Rattus norvegicus: one gene and its partners. The protein of the gene in region 1 binds, or shares a complex with, the protein of each later gene. Links are inferred from orthologs where the notes say so. Each region holds a gene or a part of one and is shown in the gene's direction. Other genes may lie near its edges. The genes, in order: Snrnp200, Prpf6, Rbmx2, Usp39, Snrnp40, Lsm2 and Cwc27.

Evidence for each region.
Region 2: Snrnp200 (region 1) and Prpf6 share a complex: the UniProt entries of both Homo sapiens proteins name them as parts of the U4/U6-U5 tri-snRNP complex. The link is inferred for Rattus norvegicus from reciprocal best matches to the Homo sapiens genes SNRNP200 and PRPF6.
Region 3: Snrnp200 (region 1) and Rbmx2 share a complex: the UniProt entries of both Homo sapiens proteins name them as parts of the minor spliceosome. The link is inferred for Rattus norvegicus from reciprocal best matches to the Homo sapiens genes SNRNP200 and RBMX2.
Region 4: Snrnp200 (region 1) and Usp39 share a complex: the UniProt entries of both Homo sapiens proteins name them as parts of the U4/U6-U5 tri-snRNP complex. The link is inferred for Rattus norvegicus from reciprocal best matches to the Homo sapiens genes SNRNP200 and USP39.
Region 5: Snrnp200 (region 1) and Snrnp40 share a complex: the UniProt entries of both Homo sapiens proteins name them as parts of the U4/U6-U5 tri-snRNP complex. The link is inferred for Rattus norvegicus from reciprocal best matches to the Homo sapiens genes SNRNP200 and SNRNP40.
Region 6: Snrnp200 (region 1) and Lsm2 share a complex: the UniProt entries of both Homo sapiens proteins name them as parts of the U4/U6-U5 tri-snRNP complex. The link is inferred for Rattus norvegicus from reciprocal best matches to the Homo sapiens genes SNRNP200 and LSM2.
Region 7: Snrnp200 (region 1) and Cwc27 share a complex: the UniProt entries of both Homo sapiens proteins name them as parts of the minor spliceosome. The link is inferred for Rattus norvegicus from reciprocal best matches to the Homo sapiens genes SNRNP200 and CWC27.

What each region holds. Positions count from the first base shown.
Region 1 is NC_086021.1:134,880,933-134,884,972, forward strand, and holds the start of Snrnp200 (U5 small nuclear ribonucleoprotein 200 kDa helicase), read left to right. Parts: upstream 1-1,240; 5' UTR 1,241-1,350; coding exon 1,351-1,395; intron 1,396-1,810; coding exon 1,811-1,974; intron 1,975-3,744; coding exon 3,745-3,916; intron 3,917-4,040. UniProt on the Homo sapiens protein: Catalyzes the ATP-dependent unwinding of U4/U6 RNA duplices, an essential step in the assembly of a catalytically active spliceosome. Plays a role in pre-mRNA splicing as a core component of precatalytic, catalytic and postcatalytic spliceosomal complexes.
Region 2 is NC_086021.1:189,143,465-189,146,334, forward strand, and holds part of Prpf6 (pre-mRNA-processing factor 6), read left to right. Parts: intron 1-452; coding exon 453-544; intron 545-2,031; coding exon 2,032-2,146; intron 2,147-2,870. UniProt on the Homo sapiens protein: Involved in pre-mRNA splicing as component of the U4/U6-U5 tri-snRNP complex, one of the building blocks of the spliceosome.
Region 3 is NC_086039.1:132,764,913-132,769,194, forward strand, and holds the start of Rbmx2 (RNA-binding motif protein, X-linked 2), read left to right. Parts: upstream 1-1,482; 5' UTR 1,483-1,489; coding exon 1,490-1,494; intron 1,495-1,683; coding exon 1,684-1,799; intron 1,800-3,820; coding exon 3,821-3,872; intron 3,873-4,282. UniProt on the Homo sapiens protein: Involved in pre-mRNA splicing as component of the activated spliceosome. As a component of the minor spliceosome, involved in the splicing of U12-type introns in pre-mRNAs.
Region 4 is NC_086022.1:105,961,752-105,966,051, reverse strand, and holds the start of Usp39 (U4/U6.U5 tri-snRNP-associated protein 2), read left to right. Parts: upstream 1-1,500; 5' UTR 1,501-1,581; exon of another isoform or gene 1,582-3,434; coding exon of another isoform or gene 3,435-3,557; intron 3,558-3,868; coding exon of another isoform or gene 3,869-4,020; exon of another isoform or gene 4,021-4,135; intron 4,136-4,300. Other genes in the region: C4h2orf68 (UPF0561 protein C2orf68 homolog), read right to left, coding at 3,435-3,557, 3,869-4,020.
Region 5 is NC_086023.1:147,983,584-147,987,589, forward strand, and holds the start of Snrnp40 (U5 small nuclear ribonucleoprotein 40 kDa protein), read left to right. Parts: upstream 1-1,206; 5' UTR 1,207-1,245; coding exon 1,246-1,389; intron 1,390-4,006. UniProt on the Homo sapiens protein: Required for pre-mRNA splicing as component of the activated spliceosome. Component of the U5 small nuclear ribonucleoprotein (snRNP) complex and the U4/U6-U5 tri-snRNP complex, building blocks of the spliceosome.
Region 6 is NC_086038.1:3,848,866-3,853,165, reverse strand, and holds the start of Lsm2 (U6 snRNA-associated Sm-like protein LSm2), read left to right. Parts: upstream 1-1,500; coding exon 1,501-1,503; intron 1,504-1,672; coding exon of another isoform or gene 1,673-1,783; intron 1,784-2,033; coding exon 2,034-2,101; intron 2,102-4,300. UniProt on the Homo sapiens protein: Plays a role in pre-mRNA splicing as component of the U4/U6-U5 tri-snRNP complex that is involved in spliceosome assembly, and as component of the precatalytic spliceosome (spliceosome B complex).
Region 7 is NC_086020.1:37,497,962-37,500,650, reverse strand, and holds the end of Cwc27 (spliceosome-associated protein CWC27 homolog), read left to right. Parts: intron 1-1,675; coding exon 1,676-1,838; 3' UTR 1,839-2,189; downstream 2,190-2,689. UniProt on the Homo sapiens protein: As part of the spliceosome, plays a role in pre-mRNA splicing. Probable inactive PPIase with no peptidyl-prolyl cis-trans isomerase activity. As a component of the minor spliceosome, involved in the splicing of U12-type introns in pre-mRNAs.

The sequences.
Region 1 (4,040 bases):
AAAAGTAAATGGGTCCAACCTAGGGTTACCATGCTGCTATTAAATATGATAAGATACAAGCTGGTCACAGCAACCCAGGGCTGCAGCCATAGTGTCTATGAGTTGGAGGCAGGAGGATCGAGAGGGCAAGAGAAGTCTCTGGATAGCAAGTTTGAAGCCTCCTGGACTACAGAAGATCTTCTCTCAAAAACCAGACAAGAGCTAAAGAGATGGCTTAATGGGTATGAACACTGGCTGCTCTTTGAGAAGACCTGGGTTCCAATCCCACCACGCACATGGCAACTCATAACCTATCTGTAGCTCCAGTCTAAGGGAATCTATCACCCTCTTCTGGGCATCTTGGAGGTCTGCGTGTACATGAGACACAAAGATACATGTAAGCCAAAACACCCAGATACAAAGAATAAAATGTAAATGATAAACCAAATAATAAAAAAGTCAGCAAAATGGCTCGATGGATTAAGACACAGGCTTAAGGTTCACTCGTGCTTATTAAACATAAAAGAAAAGTAGAACTCGCTGTTTTGCTTTCAGTGTTGTGTAGAGAATTATTAAAAGACTAAATACTACCTTTACATAAAAGGTACCACTATTGCTTAATAAATCTGAATAGTATTTCTATACACATAACTTATTTTTCATATATTTCTTTAGTAAAACGTTCGTGCCACATTGAGGACAAAATTATATGCTGTAATCTGCACGATTGTGCACACCTAAAATCCTGACACAGGCTGTGTCAGATGATTGAGCACAAATATTTTTTCCTCTACTGTCAGTTAGCTGACACAGGGGAGAGTCTTACGGAAACGAGTCTAAGATGAGTTCAATAGGACAGCGAGCGTTACCCCAATTTCTCAATACAGAAGAGAAATCCAGTTAGTTACTAGACATGCCAACTTGCTTGAACCTTCAGCTTCCTTGTCCAGAAATGGAGCTCTTTAGTTTCCATTCCTTGCAAGCCTGCTGCCTGCCTCACAGAACGGCTGGTATGAGAAACCAAAAGTATTACAGAAAGGGACTTTTAACATCATACTTTTCGGGGGTTCAGCCTTGGCTCTGTAGTACCTATAGATGTGTGGAACCATAGTTCGCACGCGCGTGTGCCTAGTCGGTCAATGGAATTCGTGACCCGGATGTACTATCGTCCACAAACTCCGCCCAGAAGTCTTGCGTAATAGCCGGAAAGTCTCACTTTTATCGTGCGTCCCGGAACCGGAAGGAAGTCCGTTTCGTTTCTCCGTCCCGTACGTTTGTCCTGCGTGGTACCTGTTGGGCCAGAGCGGTTTGCACAGGCGGTTCGCACCGTGAGGAAGAGTGGAACCCTGAGTTCCCGGAGCACCGGCAGCCATGGCGGATGTGACTGCCCGCAGTTTGCAGTACGAGTACAAAGCGGTACGTGTGGTCTCGGAGTAGGATTGCGGGCAAGGGAAGTCGTGGATAGTCACGAACACTGATGGGGAAATGAGAGCTGGGTGAAGGATGTATTAAAACACGACGGAATATCCTTAGTGGAGATTGAGGGACGTGAGAATTTAGGAGTCCCGTCCCCCCCTCCCCCCGCTAAACTGTCTCCTCGTTACCCCTGATCTGCCCAACATTTTTCCCAAATGTGGGCTATTGTGGATGTTGTTAGGAACGCTGGTCGTTCACCTTATCAGATAGTACAGTGCTCATGCATAGTGCAATGACATACTATTCTTAAGAGCATTATTCTTTTATTCCAATGTTTTTCCATTTTCTGGTGTCACTGTAATAACAGGATTCAAAAACCATATGTCAAAGTTTTGATAAAGTATGATCTTTTCAGAACTCAAATCTTGTGCTCCAAGCTGACCGCTCTCTCATTGACCGGACCCGCCGGGATGAACCGACAGGAGAGGTTCTGTCCCTGGTTGGGAAATTGGAGGGAACTCGAATGGGAGATAAGGCTCAAAGGACCAAACCACAGATGCAGGAGGAAAGACGGGCCAAGTAAGTACCAAGGGGATGCTTTTTTTTTTTTTTTTTCAGCTAATGTAAAGCCCATCTTTAGCATTAGAGCAGTAGTTTTGCTGAAGTTTGTATGGAAGATCAGTGATGTGTGTGCAACATAGCAGAAACCTCTTCAAGGTTTAAAACTTCTTTGAACTTAGGTGTAATGAAGTGGAACAAAATCTATTGATACCTTTTACTGACATATTTCCTATTCATAGATGTTAATTTTCTTCAGTGTGTGTGTGTGTGTGTGTGTGTGTGTGTGTGTGTGTGTGTGTGTGTATGGGGTGGGGGTGTTGTGCACATGCATGCAAATGCCTATGTGAAGGCCAGAAGATGGTTTGAGATCCCTTGGAACTTGAATTACGGGAGGTTCTGAGCTACCCAATATGAGTCTGAAAACTGAACTTGGGTCCTCTTAGAAAGCAGTATTGGCGTCAGACTACTTGAGCCTTCTCTCCAGTTGGCTATCTGACTATTTCAGGGCTCTAGTTAATCTCCTCTGAGTAATTCAGCTCCTACTATTTCAGGCCTCTAGTTAATCTCTCAGTAATTCAGCTCCACCACATTGTTAGAAACTTTTCTCCCCAACCTTTCTTCTTTTGTTGCCTATCACTTCCTGATGATTTCTGTCAGCTTTTCATGTTGGTGGATTCATTTCAAAAGTTAAATACTACTTTGTTTTGCCTGCCTGCCTGCTTGTCTGCCTGCCTTCCTTCCTTCCTTCTTTCCTTCCTTCCTTCCTTCAAGACAGGGTATCTCCATCTATAGACCAGGCTGGCCTTAAACTCAGATCCATCAGCATCTGTTTCCCGAGCACTGAGATTAAAGTCATGTGCCTCCACCTTCCAAAAAAATGTGTTTTCTCTCTTTTTCTCTATCTCTTTTTTTAAAGATTTATTTTATGTATATGAGTATACTGTAGCTATCTTAAGATTGTAGCTGGGCTGGGGATTTAGCTCAGTGGTAGAGCGCTTACCTAGGAAGCGCAAGGCCCTGGGTTCGGTCCCCAGCTCCGAAAAAAAAAAAAAAAAAAAAAGACTGTAGCTGTCTCCAGACACACCAGAAGAGAGCATTGGATCCCATTACAGAGGGTTATAAGCCACCATATATTGCTCGGAATTGAACTAAGGACCTCTGGAAAAGAAGTTAGTGCTCTTAACCATTGAGCCATCTCTTCTTGGCCCTGTTTGGTTTGAGTGGTTGTTTTAGAAGAGCTCAAATATTGGTCTTTCAGTTTCCAGAGCCTGACATCTTTTCTAGTTATTTATTGGGTGTCATTAGAAGTAGATTCCACTGGAGCCTAGTTTCTCTTACTACTAAAATGTGATGGGTGTAGCTAAGGCTAAAAAAAAAGGAAATAATATTCCATAGTTTCCTCATGTGGTTATAAAAGTAAATAATATTACATAGTCTCCTCATGTGGTTATAAATAATATTACATAGTCACCTCATGTGGTTATAAATAATATTACATAGTCTCCTCATATGGTTATAAAAAGGTGTACATTTAAAGGTAATGGAGACCGTGTTTCATTGTAACAGCTTATCAGATGATGTTATATTTTCTTTCTATAAGAATGTCCCATATGAAGTATCCCATAAATGTGGGACATAAAGAAGTGCTTCTTCAAATAATTAAGGTCTGGTAGGAGCTATTTTTTTTCACTCATTTTCCTGCCTTCACAGAGTAGATGTATAGAAAGGGTAAGCTTTGCTCGGGAATGGAAAGTCCTCCCATTCAGCCTCATGTTTTCTGTCCTTTAGGAGGAGAAAACGTGATGAGGACCGACACGACATCAACAAGATGAAAGGCTATACTCTGCTGTCAGAGGGCATTGATGAGATGGTGGGCATCATCTATAAGCCCAAGACGAAGGAGACCCGGGAGACCTATGAGGTGCTGCTCAGTTTCATCCAGGCTGCTCTCGGGGATCAGGTGAGGCCACCGAGGAGGAAAGAGGAAGGGCATAGAGGAGTTTTTTTTTTTTTTTTTTTTTTTTTTTTTTTCTTTTCTTTTTTTCGGAGCTGGGGACCGAACCCAGGGCCTTGCGCTTGCTAGG
Region 2 (2,870 bases), about 54 Mb from region 1:
GGATGCAGAGTCCAGCCAGAGGTTAGGCTGGGATGTGAGAGGACACTGCTGAGGGGTTGTTCTTAGGTGCCTGCCTGTATGGTCTGTGCCTGTTCCCTTATCTTCACTTGTGTCTGTTTCCTATGGACTCTGGGATCTCAGGTGGGGCTGCTGCCTGCTGACAGGCTGTGGACACCAGTGCTGCCATCTGTAGAGAGTGGGATTCTACCCCCTTCTAAGAGACAAGAGCCTCCTTTACTGGAGTGGGGAAAGAGTGCTTGCTGAGCAAATTTGACAATCTGAGTTTGAAGACGTTTCCAGAAGTGGTCCTCTGACTTCCACATATAACATGACAGTGATAATAAAGTAAAAATGTAAAAGCCTTTTAAAAGGGTCTCTGGCAGAAGGCCAGCTAGAGTAGTTGGCTACGCTATGATAATGGGGATGTCCCATCTCTGGACCTCTTTTCCTAGGTTGGAGTCAGTGCGGCTGGAGTACCGGGCAGGGCTGAAGAATATTGCCAATACCCTCATGGCCAAGGCGCTGCAGGAGTGCCCTAACTCTGGTAAGGACTCCTGGCCACGTAGTATGGCACCGAGGAAATCTTCTGTGGGATAGGATCAGTTGATTTCCAGGAACTCCTTTGAGATACAACCTGTATGTCCCATTTCAGTCTAGCCTCGCTGATGTGGTTACAAAGACTTCAGAATAAACCCTCAGTTTCAGTATGGGGGAGTTTGATTTCATGTTCTGAGGCACTGTCATTTTTCTAAGCTGTTATTGGTGTGTGTGTGTGTGTGTGTGTGTGTGTGTGTGTGTGTGTGTGTGTGTGTGTGTAGTTTGATTTCATGTTCTGAGGCACTGTCATTTTTCTAAGCTGTTATTGGTGTGTGTCTGTGTGTGTGTGTGTGTGTGTGTGTGTGTGTGTACTCTATCTGCATGTACACCTGCAGGCCAGAAGAGGGCATCAAATCCCATCACAGATGGTTGTGAGCCACCGTGTGGTTGCTGGGAATTGAACTCAGGACCCCTGGAAGAGCAGCCAGTGCTCTTAACCGCTGGCTCCAGCGGCTCTCTCCAGCCCCTTAAGACAAGTTTTAACTTTTATTATTTTTCTTACATGTGGTATATAAGAAATGTAGTCAGGCAGTGGTGTCACATACCTTTAATCCTAGCACTCAAGAGGCAGAGACAGATTTCTGAGTACAAGACTGGCCTAGTCTACAAAATGTGTTCCAGAACAGCCAGAGCCATTACACAGAAAAACCCTGTCTTGAAACAAAAAGAAGACATGCATGTGTCACTTGAAGAAATTTGAGTTTTAAAAGAGGATAATAGAGATTGCTCTAACCTACTACTCAGGAATCTCTGCTCTTTGTGTTTGTATTATTTCTGTGTTACTGTACAGAGGTAAGGTTACACTAGGCATTTAGAATAGTACTTTGTGTTTGTTTGGTTTAGCCCATAATGGCCTCAGACACAGTATGTAAAGGCTGGGATCCTCCACTCTCTGATTCCACTTCCCGAGTGCTAAAATTACAGCTGACAACCTCTGCATGACTGAGGTTGTTGTTGTTGTTGTGCTAGTAGTGGTAGTTGTTTTGCCTTTTCCTTTTCTTTTTTCTTTTTTTAGATAAGTTTTCTCTGTGTAACAGTCCTGAGTATTGTTCTAGAGCTTACTTTATAGACCAGACTGGCCTCCAGCTCACCAAGATCTTTCTGCCTCTGCATAGAGGCGTAGAGGAAATGTGCTGGGATCAAAGCTGTGCGCCCAGCCCCTGGCTGCCATCTTTATGTTTAGCAGCGGGTGTGACAGTGCTTTCATTGCCCACTGCCTGTTTGCTGACACAGTGAGAATGAAAGCTTGCAGCTCTCATCCAACACTGTCCAATTCCATTCTGGCAAGGCTGGTGTAATTCAGGTGACTGGGTAGGTGGATATCGAGACCCTTGTGGTTGCCCTCAGTGTACCCTTTTGGGGTAGCCTAAAGAAGAGGGTGCATTTCTGAAGCCAGAGTGGGGCTGAGGGTAGATTCTTGCTTGTGAATTCCAGGTATCCTGTGGTCTGAAGCTGTCTTCCTTGAGGCAAGGCCCCAGAGAAAGACCAAGAGTGTGGATGCCCTGAAGAAGTGTGAACATGACCCCCATGTGCTTTTAGCTGTGGCTAAGTGAGTAATAGTTCTTTTGGGATTACTTGGGATTCTGGCATAGTTTTGCCAGCATCTTTGCCTGGCTATGCTGACTTTGTTTATACAGGATGAGCTACATGGGCCTCAGCTGCCAGAACTCCTGCTTCAGTCCTCTGGGCAGCGCTGTCTGCTAGAGGCTTGAGGTGCTGTCTAGACTGAGGTGCTGTCTAGACATCTGTCTGGTCACTCCCTCTTCACAGGCCTCCTGGGTTCTTTGGCTCATCCTCAGCCCCAGGCTTCTGATGGGCTGTTTCCTTTGTTTCATTACCACATGGAGCCTGAATTACATGCAAGACAGATTTGTTGATATTGGTCCACACAGAATTTAAGTATTAAACCAAGCCCATTTGACTAAAGGGCTTTATCCTAGAGTTTGTTTTGTTTGTTTGGTTTTGTTTGTTTGTTTGTTTGTTTGTTTGAGACAGTTTCTCTAGGTATTCTGACTGTTCTAGAACTCATTTTGTAGACCAGGCTGGCCTCAAACTCAGAGATCTGCCTGCTTCTACCTCCTGAGGGCTGGGACTAACGATGTCACCGTCACTGCCCAGAGAGCCCAGAGGCTTGCACTCATTGTGTTAGCAGAACTCAGACCCTTTGAGTTTAGTGACCGTGGGAATGTCCTGCTGCAATCCGTTGTCTTGGAGTATAGAAATGATTAACCATGGTTCATCTGCAATGCCATCTGTCCAGTGATCTCCTAGCA
Region 3 (4,282 bases), on another chromosome or scaffold:
ACCTGGATCTAGGAACCCGTGTTCAGCCAGCCACAGCAGCAGGCAGTCAATCAGATGATGCCTTGCCACCCTGGAAAGTCCACAGAGCCCTAACCAATCACAAAAGCACCCACACCAGCCAACCAATCAAGGGAAAGAAAAGTAAATGTCACCCACCCTACCCTGACAGACTTTAAATTGACCCTACAGAGCACACACCTAGGCTTTCATTTCCAAATGGGGAGACTCTTGCATGCAGGAAATTCTGCTGAATAAACACTCTTTGCTTTTGTATACTATTTGAGTCTGGGGGGTATCATTCTTCTGCTACTCTTGGACCCTAACACTCACAAAAAGGAACTCCTATTTTCTGTTTACATACTGATTTCTGGATAATTGTGATATGAATAATTATTAATTATATGATAATTATGATATGAAGTATTCAAGTACATATAGATTTCCCCTTATACCATTAGTTCTATGCATGCAGAAAACCAGTCCTCCAGATTCCTTCTATAGACCAACTGTACAGAACAAATTTAGATGCTCAATAAGGGATGATTAAATTAGCCTGACCTGATTGGTACAAGCTCAAGACATTTCAAGTTAAGCAAATTTTAAAAGATTTATTAGTTTTACTCATGTGTATGTATATCTGTGCATGCCATGGGAGTGCAAATGCCCACAGAAACCAGAGGAGGAGGATGGATCTTCTGAAGTTGGAGTTGTGAGCCACTTGTTTTGGGTGCTGGGATCTGAATACAGGTTCTCTGGAAAAATCACCAAATGGTCTTAACCACTGAACCACCTCCCTAGACATTCAAGCTAATTTGTTGAAGCTCAGTTTTTTTTTCCTCTGTAAAGTAGGGGTGGTAACTGTATTTCATGGGGTTGTTGGGAGGCCAGCTTGGTCTACAGAGCGATGTCCAAGACAGCTAGGGCTACACAAAGAAACCCTGTATGTAAAGAAACAGAGATTGAATGAAAAATGAAAATGGCAGAAACTGAGCCCCTTGGAGGCAGAGGTTTAGGGTAGGGGCAGCCACTGGTGTGAGACTTAGCCTGGGTTTGAGACCTAACAGAGACAACATGCATAAATTTTCTATCATTTGGAACCTTTACATTCTCTAACTCTTCAATTGTTAGGTACTAATTTGACAATGCTAATTTTTGCCTGCCTCTGGAAAAAGGCCACATCCGTTATTTAAATCTGTGGGCATTTAATTCAGACTGCAGAAGCACACGGATCCACTGTAACGCCCAGGTTCCCACCTTCGAGCTACACCAAAAAGGGAAGCAGGGAATAACTAGGGAACTATTTCGCCCCTGGAGCAAAAGCGTGAGAAAGCGCGTTTGCGTTACTGCGCATGTGCCGAGGCTTAGCGCGCCGGAAGTCCCGCCTCCATTTCCGTTGGCTCCAATCTGAGCTGAGTGTTCGGGTTGCGCGCGCGCTTCGGAGCCTCACCCGGAAGCTGATGTCTTAAGAGCGGAGCGCGAAGATGCGAATATGAAGTAAGGATTTAGTTTCTCTGAGGACAGGGGAGGGAGTTTCTCTGAGGAAGGGAGAATGGATTGAGGAGGGCCGCCCATAAGGGCGGGGACAGGTCCTCGCCTTCAGGGCCTCGGGGCGGGAGACGACCGGTACGTAGAAGGCGGGCTGTGAGGAAATGTACTTAAACGTCTTTCCCTTCTCCCGCACAGCCCTTTAACTAAGGTGAAGCTGATCAACGAACTGAATGAGCGAGAGGTTCAACTTGGGGTGGCAGAAAAGGTGTCTTGGCACTCGGAATACAAAGACAGCGCCTGGATCTTTCTTGGTGAGGTCTACATTTTTCTCTAGCAGTGCCTTTCAGAGTCTGTACCTCCCCTCCCCTCCTCCCCCTTCCTCCTGGTTGTTTAGCGCCCCTGGTCGTCACCTCTGAACACGCTGCTCGTCACCTCACACTCTTGCAGCTAGTCTGCTCACAGGTTCCTTTTTCACTTGGCCCCTATGATACTGCTTAGAAATTGGTATTTGCCATTCATTATATGAAAAATCTTGCCACTTGGTTGCTTAGAGACAGTTAACTCCCCAGGCAACCCATAGTGATGTCAAGGAAACTGAGGCGCACAGGGGTTACTGGGCTTGCTTAAGGTGCTGCATCACTCAAAACTATAGGGCTGTGTTCTTAGTCCTTATTGCATGTCTATTATCTGCCGTTTCTCAGAATTATTTTCCTCTTGTAAGTGGCTGCTTCTCCCAGTTCTTTGTTGTATTGTTAGGTACCAGAACAGACATTAACTGGCTTGGACGACATTGAGGGTTTCTCCTGCTTAACATTTGAAAGGCTATCTGAAAATGTGGAGGGATGTGAGCTTTGTTGTTCATTAAGGGAAAACTACTGATGAAAAGAATACAGTCTGGATTACACCCCTGGCCCTGGGTAGATACCGGGACATTTTCAGGAATCCTAAATGTTACATGCTTGTGTTCCCCTTCCTTAAGACAATCCAACAGGCTTTAAATTTTCTGGCCAGGAGTCACCTGTCAGGAAAGCTCAGTCATCTAAAGACACGCTAAGGACATGGGAGGGAAATGATCCCCAGTGCAGTTGTTACTGGTCTCTGTGTTAAGTCTACCTGTTATTCTGAGTTCTCACTTATCCCCTGCCCTCCCTTTCTGTCCATTCTCTGGATGCTGGCTGGAATCCTGAACATGCTTGCCCGGAACACTTTGGACTGTCTCATTCCAAATCTAAAGGCTCTCCTATCCCCTTGAACCACTCCTCTACCTCCATCTCTGTGCATTGCTGCTTGCTTGACCGCTAATTCAGAAGGCATGGCTGCTTCTTCTGCAGCTCCTTCATCCCAGTAGCTGCTGAAGCTTACAACTTGCTTCCCTATCAGCTCTCTCTCAAATGCTAATAAAATGGACCTCAAGCTTCCTCCTTAGTCTGCTTTAGAATTATATTATCAAGATAAGACATTACTAGCCTTTGTAAAAGGGGAACTCTTAACTCTCTGGTGACAATATTATTATCCTGTATTCACTTTATGTCCCAACCAAAATCCTGCAGTTTACCTTTGGAAAGAGGCTGTTGTAATAGGTATTGTGTTAAGCACTTTATATTCCTCATTTTACTTTATTTCTCTAACACTCCTGTGAGGCAAATATGATACCATCCCATTTTTACACTTGAGGGAAAACATGGAGGGAGGGGAAATTGTTTCCTATGAAATGCTTAATATTATCCCTTATAAATCTTAGCTTGCACATAAGTGAGGGTAATAATAGTATACTTAAACTTGCTGTTTATGAGATTGAGTCTTGTGCAGGAAATCACCTGCTTTATAGGATTTTTGGATGTGAGGATTCAAAGATAAAATTAATTTGGTGAGTGATGACCCCAGCCTTTCCACTCAGAGTTACTATTTTTTTCTCTTTCTCTTCTCTTCTTTTCTTTCCCTCCTTTCCCTTCCTTTTCTCCTTTTTTTCTCTCTCTCCCTCCCTTCCTTCTTCCCTCCCTCCTTCCCTCCTTCCCTCCTTTTCTCTCTCTCTCTCTTCCCCCCTCCCTCCCTCTGTACCTCCCTCTCCCTCTTTCTTCCTTTCTTTCTCTCTTTCTTTGAGGCAGAGTTTTACTATGAAACCACTGTGTAGACCAGGCTTGCCTGGAACTCACAGAGATCTGAGAGTTAATTACTTTCCTTCCGGACTACTGTCACTATACCCACTCATTCTATCATTGGATTAGACTGATATATTTGAGATTGTGGCTTGTTTAATCTGTACCTCCAGTGCCTAGCATGCAGTAAACACTTGCTTAATGTTTGTTGAACCCAAGTGTTTGTTTTCTTCTAGGAGGGCTTCCTTATGAACTGACAGAAGGAGACATCATCTGTGTGTTCTCACAGTAAGTCCTCTGTTGTTACCTATCTCCTGGGTGCATAGAACAGTTTGCTTCCATAGAGTATTTTTGTAACAGCAACAAAGCATTTCAAGCTGGGTGTGGAGTTGTACACCTCTATAAGAGGCTGAGGTAGGAAGATCACTTGGAGTGAGACCCTGCCTCAAAAAGCCATGAAAACCATTTAATTCTAGGCTGAATGACATCCATGCATGGGGAAGGCTAGAGTCTAGCTCAGTCCCAGGTTAGATAAGGTTCCAGAGAATTACCACATGGGAGATCCCAAAGCTTGGATCATTTGAGAGTCTGTCTGAGGGACTTTAGTCCGTTTCTGTCATTTTTACTGAGCTTCGTTCTGCATGGGCTTACATTGGAACAGACAGGCATTCAGGAAGATGCAGTATTGCCCCTTCTCT
Region 4 (4,300 bases), on another chromosome or scaffold:
ACTTAAATTTGAGTTATCTAGGAAGCACCACCCTGACACAGGTCTTGTTAAACACAGCAGGTTGGACACTCACCACCCCAAAGAGCTTCCACCTATCTGGGCTGCTCTCCAGTTGGCAGTACACCCACGACCAGAGAGATGGAATGTTCTTTCACATTTCCTCTAGATCCACACCTGCTGGCTAGACTGCAGCCAGCATACACTTTACTCTCATCGTATACACTTTTACATTTTTCCCTTCTTTGCACTCTTCAGAGTCACGCTTGCCAGGGGGCTACAACCCCGGCTTTATCATTTATTCTTGCACAGCACAAACCCCCTTGCAAAAACCAATTCTCTCTCTCATGAATAATACACACTTGGTCCAGGAATCACAAAACTGTAAAATACAGGCTTAACTCTAGTTAAGAACTAAGGGGAAAAAACATTCCATAGAGAATGGGAATGAGACTTTTTGTTTGATACAAGGTTTATGTAGCTCACGCTGGCATCGAACTCATAGCAGTCTTTTTTTTTTCTTAAATAATCGGGGTAGGGTTTGAGACAGGGTTTCTCTATGTACTTGTAGCTGTCCTGAACTTGCTTTGTAGATAAGGCTGGCCTCAGGAGACCTTATCTCTGCCTCCCAAGTGCTGGGATTAATGGTATGTGCCACTATGCCTGGCTATAGGGCAATCCTTTTATCTCAGCCTTTCAAATGCTGGGATTACCAGCATGTACCATCATACCTGGCTCAGCCTCCTGACCCCATACCCCCTTCCCCCAAAAAAGACAGTTAAGAACTTATCTACTCAAATGAATGTTGATTCTGGGGCAGTTTGCTGTTAAGTCCTGCCTATGGCATGCTGTGCTGTAACATTGGGCAGTTCTGAGAACTCACTATGGCCTGTGAATTTTGAAATAGGTAAGAGAAGCATCTGGAAGCAGGGTTGCCAAGTAAACTGGACATTACTACGGACCCCAGAATAGGCCAGCAGAGCAACAAAGCTATGCCATAAGGCTGAGGGTGGCCCCTAAGAGACATTTTAGGGGTGCCTAGAAAATATCAGCTCTCACAGGCTGGCTCAGAATGACCATTTCATTTGGGCACAAGTCTGGGGCTTTAGGTAGTCATACAGGACAAATTAGCTAAGAATCAAGAGTGCTTTCTTAGCTAGAAAATCTTTCATACATACTGATAAGCAAAGTGCTTCTGGAAAAGGAGCTTAGAGAAGTTTCCATCCGTCTCCTTTCTGCGCAGGGTCTTTGTGAGGACCATATGAACACATGAACGGCCTCTACAGAACACTGTATCTATTTTGTCCTTCATCAAGAAGTGGGAATAACGGCAAATTTGTAGGTGCTGGTCCTCAGATTCTTCTTCAGGTGTTTTTAACAGGTGTACAATAACAGAATCAGGATATAGGAAGCATAGCTCTAAGAACACAGACCCCAAAGAGATTCCAATGTTCTTTGTCCAGCCAGAGTTCCAGTGAATCCTGTGTTTTAAGTCAGAATATGGACTGATTAACTGGAGGATGAAGAGCATGGAGTGTGGCAGACCCTCCTTCACCCCGAAGGCTCTGGATGGTATCTAACCAAGTAAGGCCACAGGCACTTTCAGCACTAGTGCACAAGTACTGGGTGAAGGCGTTTCCCTGACAGCAGACTGAGATCAGGACTCAAGCTTAAGGCACTGAGCTCTGGGACCAGCTCTCCTGGTCTAGAGCATTCAGGTCCCCAGCTACTTCTGGACTAGGCCCTTCTAACTCACCACCTCACCCAATGCCCCAGAGCTCTGGCACAGCAAGCTGTGAGTCACTCTTTTAATGCATAAAGCCGATGCCCGCTACATTACATGTTTTCAGCAGAAGGGGATAAAACACAGCAGGGACCCCAGGTGTCCCAGAAGAGACAAGCTACTGAACTCCTACAGTTAGAATGATCTTGAGACCCTAGAAGACAAACGCCCGGGGTAGGAGGTTCGGCTGTGGGCTGTTTTATGACTCATGTTTCAGGTTGCTGAAGTTAGGCTCGTATGTCAGAAGTCTTAGGTAGCCCTGAATTCCCGTGCACAGGATGTCTTATGGACTTCAGACCTTAGTTAGCCTAAGCTAGTGTTGGAAAACATGTCCCCTGCTGGAAAAATGCTCTGTCTGGGGATCTTTACCCAAAGGACCTAAGGTACATTTACTTAGTTTTCTCTCGAGACAGCTCAGGTTGGTCTTTAACTTAGGCAGTCTCATACTCTGGCCTCTTCCATGCTGGTAAGGTTAAAGCGTGCGTCATCATGCTCAGACATATTCTTGGGAGGTATGAGAGAAGAAAGCATGGAGCAGAGAAAGGGTCATTTCACTTTCTTGATGATGTTCTTCTCAACTCCTTTTTGAAACTGGGGCCCTCCCACCTCAGGACAATTATAGCTATTGTCAACTCTCCCAACTTCAATAACTCAAGATTGCTAAACCACAATTGGAGCATCTGCTTTGATAATTCCCCTTTAGTCTGAGCAGAAGGTAGTCTGTTCACAGCTAGGAGGTGAATTTGGTAAGCCTAGCCAAGGCAGGTTTTACTTTTTTAAACCTTTCTTGTTGTTGTTGTTGTTTTGAGATAGGTTCTTTCTACCACTGTCTGTCCTGCCACTAGATGTGCTGGTATGTAGACCAGGCTGGCCTTGAACTCACAGAGATCCACCTGTCTCTACCTCCTGAGTACCGGGATTAAAGGCATGTGCCACCCATGCTTAGCAGGACAGGTTTTCAACAAAGGACAGCAACTTAGCACAGCACCTTCTTCCTGGGTCTCCTATGCAGTCTACACAGACAGTGCAAAGCAGTGAGGCATGAGTAGCTTGGGAAGGCCACAGAAGGGGAAGGAGATGTGTTTCCAAATAGGCCTCAAAACCAAAGCTCTCCTGTTTTATTGGCATCAGAATTACTTGGAGAACTTGTCAAGGAAGGCAGGCTTCCAGAAGCCCCACTTCTAAATTCCTGAGTGGCAGAAAAACAGTCATGTTGCGGGTGGGGGGGGGGGGTAGAAATGGACTCTACCCAAGGCAGAAAGCTAGGAGAAACGAAAAGTGATGACTGAAAACAGGCCTGGGGAAAGATGAGTGGAAGAAAGCAGAAACACGAAGGAGCCTGACAAATAACCTCACCAAGACAACAGCACACGGGCAAAGGCTTCAGAAAGCCTGGCTCTCCCTGAAGTCTCTGCCCCCAAAACACCGTTAGCCAAAGCCAAAATTCCAGAATGTTAGGTTAGATGAGATAAGAGAGAATAGCTGCTGAGAGGTAGGTCGGATGTGGTCCTGCAAGACCCTTGTGGATACAGCAGCTTAGAGGAGGACATTATCCCTGAAGATCACATGGATTCATCCTGGCACCCCCCAAACTAGAGGTGAGCTCCTTGGGCAAAATTCTGCCAAGTGCAGTGAATCCTGCCCTTCAACCCCATCAGTGTCGGCTCTGGCGCTTTGCAAGTTCCTCCTGGATGCGCAATCTGAGGGCCTCTCGCATGGCTGGATCCAGAGGTGTGTGTGCTGATACTTCCTCACTCACCCTTCCGGGATCATCGTCCTACGTGGAGGAAGAGTCAGGAAGCTCAGAGCCTGGTCTCTCAGAAAAGTGCTGCCCTATTCCTAGACAGCATTCTCACAGAACTGTTTGGCTTAAGGCTTGTCATTTCTCAGGAATCCCCTGTAACAGTGATTCTCAACTGCGGGTCACAAGTTTTCCCTGTTCCCCCAATTAGGAATCTCTGTGCTGAGAATACCTGACAGGAAGACACGTTTTCCACTGGCCCTGAGATTAACAGCGGCTCAGGAACTAGTGGTAGTTTCCATCATGGCCCAGGACCGTCAAGATGCAGCTGTTTCCGGAAGGCGTACCTGATATACAATAACTGATGTGACCTCTCCACTGTCCGCTTCATATTCTAAACAGAAGAGCTGGCGACCAGGAGGCTCCAGCTCAGAGTTTCCACTACTGCTGCTCTCACTGGACTCCTCACAGTCTGGGTTCACTGGGTGGGTAGAGCCATCTGTAAGGGCAAACCAGAATGAGAGGGAAGAGGGGGATGCTGCTAAAACCCCTGCCCACAGAAACTATCAGAAAAACAACACCAAGAAAGCCTCCAAGCTTCCAACAGACCCTGGGTGGGTATGTGTGTGCACTGTGTGTGTGTGTGTGTGTGTGTGTTAGGGGAGCTGTCAATCAGGATTTTAACTTCTCTTTCTCTCTCTCTCTAGCATAATTACACTAGAAAGTTAAGAACAAGATGAACATGTCTCTTGCAAATATCACTGGAAGTTGCTCAAAGG
Region 5 (4,006 bases), on another chromosome or scaffold:
CACACCCGCTCAGACCCACTGTGTCTCAGTCATCTTCCCAACTGATAGGGCATTGCACATGCTGTTCTGTGCAGAACGTTCTCCCTTTCTCTCGTCCCATAATTAGAACTGTCCCATCAGATAGGAACAGCTCAGCCATCTTTTCTTTTGAAAAGCCTTCAAGCTTCTATTAGTAACTCATAGCATGAGGCATCGCTCGTTCAGGTAGTCTTCCGATCAACTGGTGAGATTTGCTTAACACGTTTCCCACACCCTGAGGTAGGGGACCATGTTTCTTCAGAATGACCTCCAACGCACTGCATCATAAATACCATTTGGACCACTTTCTTTTTTTTTTTTGGGGGGGGGGGTTCTTTTTTTCGGAACTGGGGACCGAATCCAGGGCCTTGCGCTTCCTAGGCAAGCGCTCTACCACTGAGCTAAATCCCCAACCCCATGGACCACTTTCGAGAAGGCCTGGTACGTAAGCACGACTATTTGACTTCTCAATAAAGTTGTGCTTTGGGGAGCCATCTGATACTTTCCTTATCGCTGGCTGTCTCGGGGACATAAATAAGTCCTTAGAAAAGACGGCTAAAGCAGTGACAAAACTAAGTCCGCCGCCTCAGCCAAGCCAGGCACTGAAGCCTGGAGGCCGGGAGTCGGGCCTGGGAAGGCCAGCACAGAGTGGGATCCAGAATCGGCATCCTGCAGAGCAGCTGTCAATGAATAGCGGCCTGAGAGTTCGAGTCCTGCATCCAGAGATCCCAAAGCTCTGCTCCAGCCTACCAAAGGACTTCTCTTTCCGGGGACTCTTTCCGAGGACATCCCCTGCCACACCCCGCTGCCAAAGCTGGTAGCTGAAAATGGTAGGCTCAGGCCTGACTCGTAACTTCCAAATTGTAACAACCACCCGCCTGATTCCCCACACACTCACTCCGCGTCCGCTCCTAACAGGACAGCCGCTTCATCCCTAGGAACACTGAATCTGCTCCGCTCGTTCTCACCCACAATGCACGGCGCGCCTGAGGGGGCGGAGGAGAACGTCAGTTCTGCGACCCAATCCAGAGTGGAGTTCTCGTGACGTCATCAAGAAGAGACCAATCGCAAGAGTGTATTCAGAGGGCGTTGCAGAAGGAAATGTTAGAAATCGATTGGTTGCTCTCTTCCGGAAGTTCTGGAGGAAGAACTCAGTTGAAACCAATTGCGCAACGCCTGCTGCAGGCGGCGCGGTTACTGGCGGCGCCGAGGGTAGTGGTTGCCGCCATGATCGAGCAGCAGAAACGCAAGGGCCCAGAGCTACCCCTGGTTCCCGTCAAGCGGCCGCGACATGAGTTGCTGTTGGGAGCCGCAGGATCCGGCCCCGGAGCCGGGCAACAGCAGGCGACTCCGGGGGCATTGCTGCAGACGGTAAGTGAGGAGGCATCCCCCCTTCGGCCCCCAACCCCTCTTCCTACGGATGGTATCAGCTCTGCAGGAACGGAAAAGCAGTGAGCCTGAAGTTAAAATAGGCCTCTGTAAAGGTGCCTTGTGTTCTGTGTGTGCTCCATACGTGTTTCCCTGTTAGACGCCTGTTTTTAGCCCTTCCGGGGCATTGAATCATTTAAAACTTTGGCCTCAAAGTCAAGACCCAAGCTTCCGCATCCTAAATCTTCAGGGATTTAGCATAAAAGAAACATTCAGGAAAGTTGGCAGAGTGAACGAATGAATGAATGAGAGGAGAAGCAATGCAAATGAATGATAGTGGCTCGCTTTGCTACCTGGTACAGCTTTTTCTTTCTCTGCATTTATAATAGTAATTAACATTAGTTGGTTCTTGGATGTTTTGCGTGTGAAATTTCCGTTAATCTTGATAACAGCCTGGAAGCAGCTGTTATTTTGCAAAATGGGGAAAGCAAGCTTTTTTGAATCAGAACCCATGCTTTTAACTACATGTCTTGTAAAATAGTAATCACACCCGCCACACGTTCAGATGAGGAAATAGGTGTACTCCTGCCCCAACTCTTTAACCAAATCCTTTTGCGGTGGTCTTTAAAATATACAAATAAAGTGAGCAAGGCGTGTGGGACTGTAGTTCCAGCTTTCCAGAAGACCGACAAGAAAATTTTAAGGGAAGGAATTGGAAGCCAACCTGTACAACATAGAAAGACACTCCCACCCCACCCCCCAAAAAAGCTGGATACACACATTTATAATCATCACTTGAGAAACTGGGGCTGGAAGATCCAGGACTTCAAGCATCTAAGCTATTATTATGGCAAAATCCTGTTGAAAGGAAAGAGAACTGTGTAACCTTGATCCTTGCCTTCTAAAAAAAAAAAGGAAATTCTCTGTAATAATTCCCCTCTTTACCTTGTTCATCTACTAGTTTTCTGGCATGTCACTTGGCTCCAGACACACACACACACACACACACACACACACACACATATATGTTCTTACTTTTTCTGTGGTGCATTGGCTGGGATGTTCTTGTAAATGCCCACATGGTCAACTATTGACTCTTTCAAATCTTTGCTCAGATACTAGCTTTTCAGTGGGGCTCTTCTGACAACTGTATTTTAGGTTGAAGTGTCCTGCACTCTGGAACCCATATTGTTTCTTCCCATGGCACACAACAGGGGGTGTTTTACTTGGGTTTGCTTGTCTGCCTTTCTCACACTTTGTACTAGAATGCAAGGTCTATTGTTTTACCAAGTGCTGTCTTCTCCAGCGCCTAGATATGTTAGGTGTGTGTGCGCTGGGGTTGGGGCTCAGAGGCCAGAAAAGAATGTTGGATTCTGGACTGGAGAGATGGCTCAGCGGTTAAGAGAACCCAACTGCTCTTCCAGAGGTCCTGAGTTCAATTCCCAGCAACCACATGGTGGCCCACAACCATCTGTAAAGAGAACCGATACCCTCTTCTGGTGTATCTGAAGACAGCTACAGTGTACTTATATATAATAAATGAATAAGTAAATCTTAAAAAAAAAAAAAAAAAAAAGAATGTTGGATTCTCAGAACCTGGTGTTACAGCTCTTGAAAGTTGCCCATTGAAGATGCTGAGAACTGAATGTGGGTCCTTTAGGAGAGCATCTCTGAGCCATCTCTCTAGCCAACAGGTAACATTTTTGTGACTAAATATACTGGATGAGTATGACCATGGGACATTATCTGCATTTATGGATATTTCGTAATAAAACCCATTACTTGGTGTAGTTAGTACATGATAATAAAAATAAGTAAGTATACTGGGATCTACTAAAGAGACTTCAGGATTATTGGTAATACACTGGTTCTTATTTGACAAGGTTGCCTAGGTTTAGTGTGCAAGACCACACAATCAAATCTACTTTGCTAAGCCTGACACAGTGATACACACTTGTCATACCAGCACTTAGGAGGACTGAAAATTTTTAAGACCAGCCTGGGCTACATATTAAGACCCCCGCTCGGGGTTGGGGATTTAGCTCAGCGGTAGAGCGCTTGCCTAGCGAGCACAAGGCCCTGGGTTCGGTCCCCAGCTCCAAAAAAAAAGAAAAAAGAAAAAAAAAAAGACCCCCCCCACCCCGCTCATGCCCCAAAATCTATTTTGCATAATAAACTGTACCCCACTGGGTTTTTCAAAGGCTAACTGGATGGACTAGAGACAGAAAAATGGAGAACGACCAGAGCTTCATTTCTTTGGGGAAAAAGAAAGGTATGAGCAATGATGTAAGAGAAGGAAGTTCAGGTAGTGATGGGGCTTTGACAGAGTGCCCTGGACCCAGTGGAATAAGGGGTAGGGGGGCTGCCTCACTCAAAATAGTGTGAGTGATGAAAGACAGACTCTGGGGAGGCAATACTTAACAGACACAAAATAAGGTGAGTGCTTCTATAGAAGACATCTTTCTCTGTTAAGACCCTGAGGCATAAAGGAGTTCAATGTGACCAAGCAGTCAAAAGTTGGCTGTGGAACAAAAACAGCCTTAGGAAGGAGAGAGCACATAGGGCATACGCTGGACTGTCCACGGGATTATCCAGAGGCAGGAGGAGTTCTGTGAGCAGA
Region 6 (4,300 bases), on another chromosome or scaffold:
ATAAGGGCAAAGTACTTGAATTTGTGTAAGTTGAGCATATCCAACAATTTTTTTTTTGGTTTTGAGGCAGGTCTGCCTCAAATGTCTTTCGTTCATGCTGCCTACATGACTGGAATTACAGAACGTTACACCTGCCAGGAAAAATATTTTCTAATTCTCAGGCACCCTGAGCCCATAGGAAGCAGCTGCTAAATGTACTGACTGCTTCTAACCAGTGACAGCCTCTTTTAGATTCAGGTGTTAAAGTTTCTGTTGAAACTCGGTAACATCTTGCTTGGTAATCATGATGGATCCAGCTCTGAACACAGTGATGTGCACAGGTGGAGTGGGGTAGGTAGGACAGAGAGGGAAGACACATCTTAGGGTCTTGCTGGCAAGTCAGTCTAGCTGAATGAACCTGTCCATTCCAGGATCAGTGGCAGATCCTGTCTCAGAAAATGAGATGGCTAAGTCGTTAAGGACATATGTTGCTCTTCGGCAGGACCAGGGTTTGATTCCCAGCACCCGTATGGTGGCTAACAACTATAACTCCAGAGGATCCAACACACTCTTTTAGTGTCTGGGAACACTGCACATGTGGTACACAGATATACGTGCAAGGAAAAACTCACACATATAAAATTTTAAAATATTAAGTAAGTGGAAAGAACAGCCAGCATTCATCTCTGGCCTACACAGGCAGGCATGCTCCAAGCTTCACCCAGACCCCCAGGAAACCGACTTTTTTGGTATCATGCAATCAGCAGGCCTAGTCTCTCAGAATTCTCACCTGTGTACCATGACTGCCTTGCACCAACAGCCAGCCTCGAGAAGACAAAATAGCAAGTGTTTTCCTATTTATCCAGACATGATATCTACAGAAGCTATAACCTAGCAACTTCCCATTTAATTACTAGTAAAAATAATACGGCTGGAGAGATGGCTCAGCGGTTAAGAGCACTGACTGCTCTTCCAGAGGTCCTGTGTTCAAATCCCAGAAACCACACGGTGGCTCACAACCATCTGTAATGGGATCTGATGCCCTCTCCTGGTGTGTCAGAAGACAGCTACAATGTACTTATATATAATAACTCAATCTTTTTTAAAAGAATATGCAAGTCATAATTTTCTCAATCTTCCCAATAATTCTCAGTAGAAAGCGTAGAGTATGAGCAAGTCACCCGGCACAGAGAAGAATCTAAAAAATTATCAGGGAGGCGAACTACATCCAACGCGCAGCTGCTATGGCCCACGCACGCGCTCGGGAGGGAGGAGTTCCTTGGGAGGAAGTGGGAGACAGGAAGTCCCGCCCTCCTCCCGGTTTGGCGGTCCTCTCTGCTCTGCCCTACTCCGCTCCCTTTGAGCCCAGATTCAGCCGCGGTTTTCGCGGTTCCCCTTGCGCCTGCGTGATCCTGTCCTGCCTCACGCGCGGGCTCGTGCTCCGGCTCCCGCCCTGCCTCCGGCCCGCAGTCCCCGGCGCCTTCCTTCGCGGTCCAGGCCGCCCCTCGTGGCGCCAGCACCATGGTGGGTACCGTGACGTCAAAAGGGAGCGCCGCCGCCCGCGGCGGGCGGTTCGAACTGTTCGGGTCTTGGTTGCGCTCTAGTGTTTGTTGCCTTGGGCTGTAGCTAAGCCCTAGGGTTTTCCTTACAACCTCAGGGCCCACACCCTGTGTGAGGAGACTGCTTGGAACCAATGGTTTTTTTGGGGAAACTTCCAGCAAGTCCAAGAGAAAGCCCACGGGCGCCGGGGGAGAACGGAAAGCTAGTCTTGCATTTCCGTGCTGGAGATCAGGATTTTGTGAGGGTGCGGTTGGGAAGCGGTCTCGAGCAGGGAGGTGGTCGATTCGGAGAGTGGGTTCTGGCATCGAGGGGTGCAGCGCAGTTATTGTCTCTCTGTGGCCCCAGGAATTGCAGTCTCTGTTAACGGATTGTTGATGGTGGTGAAATTTTGAGAACTACTAGGTGGGGCCAAAAGGACTGGTATTTCAAATGCCGTCACGGGTTCCTCCTCCCTGTCCCTTTTCATGTGATAGTTCCTCCCTCTTTTCCAATAGCTCTTCTACTCCTTTTTCAAGTCCCTTGTGGGCAAGGATGTAGTCGTGGAACTCAAGAATGATCTGAGGTAGGTCTTTATTTCAGCGAGTTGGTGGAAGGTGGGAGGTGCCTGGTGTCCTGATCGTTTTCGTGGTTGTTGTTCACAAAGCTATTTTAGAGCAGAGGGGCAAAACACAGAAGAAATATCTTGTGTCTTGAGTGTAAAGATTAGTTTAAGAGTGAGCCTGGTGCTGTGGCACATGCGTGTAATCCCAACGCTGATGCAGAATTGTGAATTCAAGGACAGTTTGGTCTACATATGTCCAGGGCCAGCCAGAGTTACACAGTGAGATACAGTTAAGTAACATGTATGTGCAGTCCTGGATGTCCCGGAACACACAGATCCGCCTGCCTCTGTCTCCTGAGTGCTAGGATTTGCCCTGCTGTATCATTTGCTCTTAACCATTCAGGAGTGGATTAAATGCTGTATCACTGGAAAGATGTTTATGGCTTCTTGTCACATCATCCATTAGAGTCTACTTTCTTTTTTTGTTTGTTTGTTTGTTTATTATACATAAGTACATTGTAGCTGACTTCAGAAACACCAAAAGAGGGCATCAGATCTCATTATAGTTGGTTGTGAGCCACCATGTGGTTGCTGGGATTGAACTCTGGACCTCTGGAAGAGCAGTCAGTGCTCTTAACCATTGAGCCATCTCTCCAGCCCCTAGAGTCTACTTACTTTCTTTCTTTCTTTCTTTCTTTCTTTCTTTCTTTCTTTCTTTCTTTTTTCTTTTCTTTTGTTCGGGGCTGGGTACTGAACCCAGGGCCTTGCGCTTGCTAGGCAAGCGCTCTACCACTGAGCTAAATCCCTAATTCTAGAGTCTACTTTCTTAATAGTGCTTAGAAAATTATAGGTGTCACTGATGTCTATTTTTTTTTTCATGTACTGGATGGGCATGCTCAACAGGTGAACTTCATTTCCAGCCCTCGTGTTTCTTTTTAAAATCCTTTTATTTGTAGACTCTTGAAACCTTTGAGCACAGGTCAGTGCTTGAGAGCCTTGATTCTAAGACAGAACGTGGTGTTGACAAGCAGGATGGTTATGGCCAGTGTGGGCAAGTGAGAGGCTGGCCCAGGCCGGGGTGGAGAGTAGCTAAGACTTTTTCTAGTCTAAAAGTCAGACCACACAAGTGTTCTTCCACAGAGCAGTGGGGGTTCGTAGAATGTAGAGAGTGAAGAAGTAAAATGCAGGATCTGGGGTTGTTAATTAAAATTTTAATTCCTCTGCACCTCCGTGCAGTGGGTAAATATAAGATGGGTAACATGGTGTGGGAGCAGTGGCTTTGATAACTGTACTCAGGACTAGAGGGTGGGGGAGTGTAGCATTAATAATAGTTAATTTCAGCTGCCATGTATATGTAGGTCTCTGGCTCCAAAGCATAAATGTTTACAAGTAACAGCTATTGGAGCTGCAGAGATGGCTTGGTGCTTTAAAAAGAGCTTGCTGCTCTTCCAGAGAAATAGAGTTCAGTTCCCGGCAGCTACATTAGGTGATTGACAACAGTTTGTTGGGCTGAATACAACTCCTTAGAACTCTGGCTTCAATGGATCTGATGCCCTCTTCTGGTCTCTGTGGGTAACTACATGCACATACACACAAATAGTAAAAATCAGTATTTAAAAATAATGGATGTTTCTGGGAGTCGTGCAGATCAGGGCTGACATTCCAGTTCATTTGTGTAAGTTTTGGTACCTTACATGACCTCTCATAAGTCCTGGATGATACTACTTTGAAAGGTGATTAGCTGAGTGGTTGATGGCTGTTCATCCCTTAAACCTTTAAACCTAGCCCTCAGGAGGCAGGGGCAAGGGCAGGGGCAGGGGGGAGTTTGAAGCCTGCCTTATCTACAGAGCTAGTTCTAGAACCCCACAGGGAAACCCAGTGGGCAATGGCCATGAGTAGTGCTCCTAGCTGTAGTTCTAGAACTTCAGAAGTGGAGGTAGGAATGCCAGAAGTTGGAGGCCAGCCTGGGCCAAGTGAGAACCTGTCTTAAAGTGGAAATACTAATATTAAATGGAGCATAGGCCCGGCCTGACTACGAGCTTCTGATGTGTTGGTGTGAGGACAGACTGAGTCTGAGGTGCTTTATCATTTCCACCTCAGAACTTACAGGGGCTGCCTGCTGGCTTCAGGGCCTAGAGTTCCTCCCCCCTTGTCACTGTAGTTCTGATTTTCCCTCTGCTGATTCCAGCATAAATGAATGCTTCTCTCCTCTTTGCTCCC
Region 7 (2,689 bases), on another chromosome or scaffold:
ACATTTTCTGGTTGGCAGTACTTCCTGAAGCAATGGAACTGTTAGAAGTCAGCGTTCTCACACTACATGGCATAATCCAATGCTGTGATCAGTCATTAAAGCTGGAACAAGCCATGTATCATTAATAACACATACCAATGTGAATGTGGTTTACCTCATTTAAATATCGTGTAGGTCACCTGTGTGTCACTGGCACACATCAACACAGCCTTCTGAAGTAGGAGAGAAGGAGGGGCGATGGCCATGTGCTACTGCGTCTCCAGAGTGACAGTGTGTGTAATACTTTCTCTCCCTCCCAAATCCCCTCGAGAATCTTCGAAATCTGAACGGCCTTTTCCATACAAATAAATGTCACTCTTCCACAGGGAGAAGGACAGCTGAGACTCCTGAGAGTGCCAACTGCCCAAATCCCTGCTGACACAAAGCAAAGCAAGCAGCAGCATGCGAGCCGAGCCGAGGGGAGGAGCTTTGCTCAGTGCCAGCGCTGACCTAGCAAGGGGTGTATGCACGGTTCTATTCCTGTCTGCTGTCATGACGGAAATGCAGATTTAAGATGCACTAATATGCTGATTGGATTGTTTATTAATTAGCTAGTAGAAAATTCATATCACTTGTTTACTTATGCAAAAACTGAGTCTTCCTCTTCCCTAACTCAGCAAGTTGCTCTGATGCCTTGTCTTTTGACCCCTGCCCCGCCCCCCTTAATCTCTGATGCCTCACCATGGGGGCACAGCTAATCACTGGCATAGTTCCTGCTGCCAAGGCTAGCTCGCTTATGAGCACTTAGGAATCAAGCACATGCTGGTACTCTAAGACCAGTAAGCGTTTGTTAAAGTAGCAAGGCAGGGTTGTGAGATTTGCTGTAGTCAACAGTAAGAGGAGAAAGTTAGTTCATGGAGGTACGCCAGAAATGTCGTTCCTCTCTGCATAGAAAAACTCAGCCCCTTCCGGAAGACAGCCACAACCCCACTTGAACATGACTTTCAGTTACTTTTAAACTTGTGTTTGTGGATGTAGATTTCCGTTCTGTTTGTCCCTACTTGTTTGGTTTTCATTAATTTGCTAATGGTGCTGGAGATTGAACCCAGGGCCTTATGTCTGCAAGGCAAATGCTCTCCTTTGAGGCACACCAGCCCTAGCATTTAAAGGTTGGGTTTTGTTGCTGCTGCTTTGTTTTGTTTTGTTTTGTTTTGTTTTGTTTCTAATGTGACCCTTGCTTTTGACCCTTTGAACCACTCAAAACACAAACATCCGACAGGTCTGGCTGTTGGCTGGCAGCTGGCTCCTCAGCTGGCTCCCTGTGCTTGAGTGTGCTCTTCAAAGAAAGAAGGCCAAGTTCCAAATATGGGTTTAGGAGACTCCAGGGTAGAGACCATAGCCTCCTACCAGGGGAGGAACTCAAGATGGACTTAGGAGCAGACTCCTGGAAGGCTGAGGAGTAGAGCAGCCACTCCAGGCAAGCTTTCCAGACTTTGCTTTGTTTCTGTTAGGCAGTCCTTGCTAGGCCAGCACTGGGCCACTGAGCAAAGCTCCTCCCCGCAGCTCTGTTTTCTGTGGGACTGCTTTCCAGGTGGATGAGCACTGCCTGCCTTCCTATGCCAGAGGGAGTGGGGTACAAAGTGTCAATGTTGGGTCCCAGCCTGAATTCACCAGACCATCCATCTTTTCTCTTTAGGATGTCCCACGTGCTCCAGTTTGAAGACAAGACCCGGAAGGTGAAAGACGCAAGCATGCAGGACTCAGACACGTTTGAGATCTATGATCCCCGGAATCCAGTGAACAAAAGAAGGAGGGAGGAAAGCAAAAAACTGCTGAGAGAGAAAAAGGAAAGGCGGTGAGCGGAGCCGTGATGCCGGAAGCGGTGGCGCCTGCCAGGAATGTCGTGTGGGAAATGTGTCAGGGCCTGTGTTCTGGTGTTCAGAAAACAGGTATCTCCTTTTGTAAATTTGAAATGATGTAAGCAAATGCTTTTGGTTACTGATAATTGACCTTTTATATTACTAAATCTGAAATAAAACCAGTTTCTTTCTAGTTTAAATGTTAAGTTTGCAGATTGCATAGACCTGTCTGTCTATGCCCCCTACCCTGAGATGTGTGAAGGAGCCTTGTTCAGATTTTTATAAGAGAAACTCACAGAAAGAATAAGGGAAACTTCCCTGATACTTTAATATAAAATCAAAATTATAAAATAAAAACATTAACATTGATGCTTTTTTTTGCATATAAACATATAAAAATAGCCAGGCCAGTAGGACTGACTCCTGCTTTAATTCATGAGGAGCCCACAGGCCAGTTAATATTCACTCTGCGAGCCCAGTGCCTGGATGCTAAGAGTGCTTCAAGACAGTAGCACTCTACTGCATGCTCTCCAAACACCACAGCCTGATGCTGGGCCCCCTGCTGCTCCCGCCCTCGTCAGCTCGCCAACATCAGGAGCAAGTGGGTGCACAGAGTCCAGCACCAGTAGAACTCATCAAGAATCTAGCCTTTGATACACTCATTCACACTAGGTATTTCTGTTCCCTATATTTAGTTCTGAACTCTGCATGCTAAAATTGTACACCAGACAGACTTGCTTCAGTCACCTAATAAAACCTCACCAGGCACATCTCTTCAGAAGAAGTAATGAAATCGGCTTCCTCTTCCTAAGGCCGGCTCTTCAGCGCGATCCCAGGTGCAGCACTGGCAG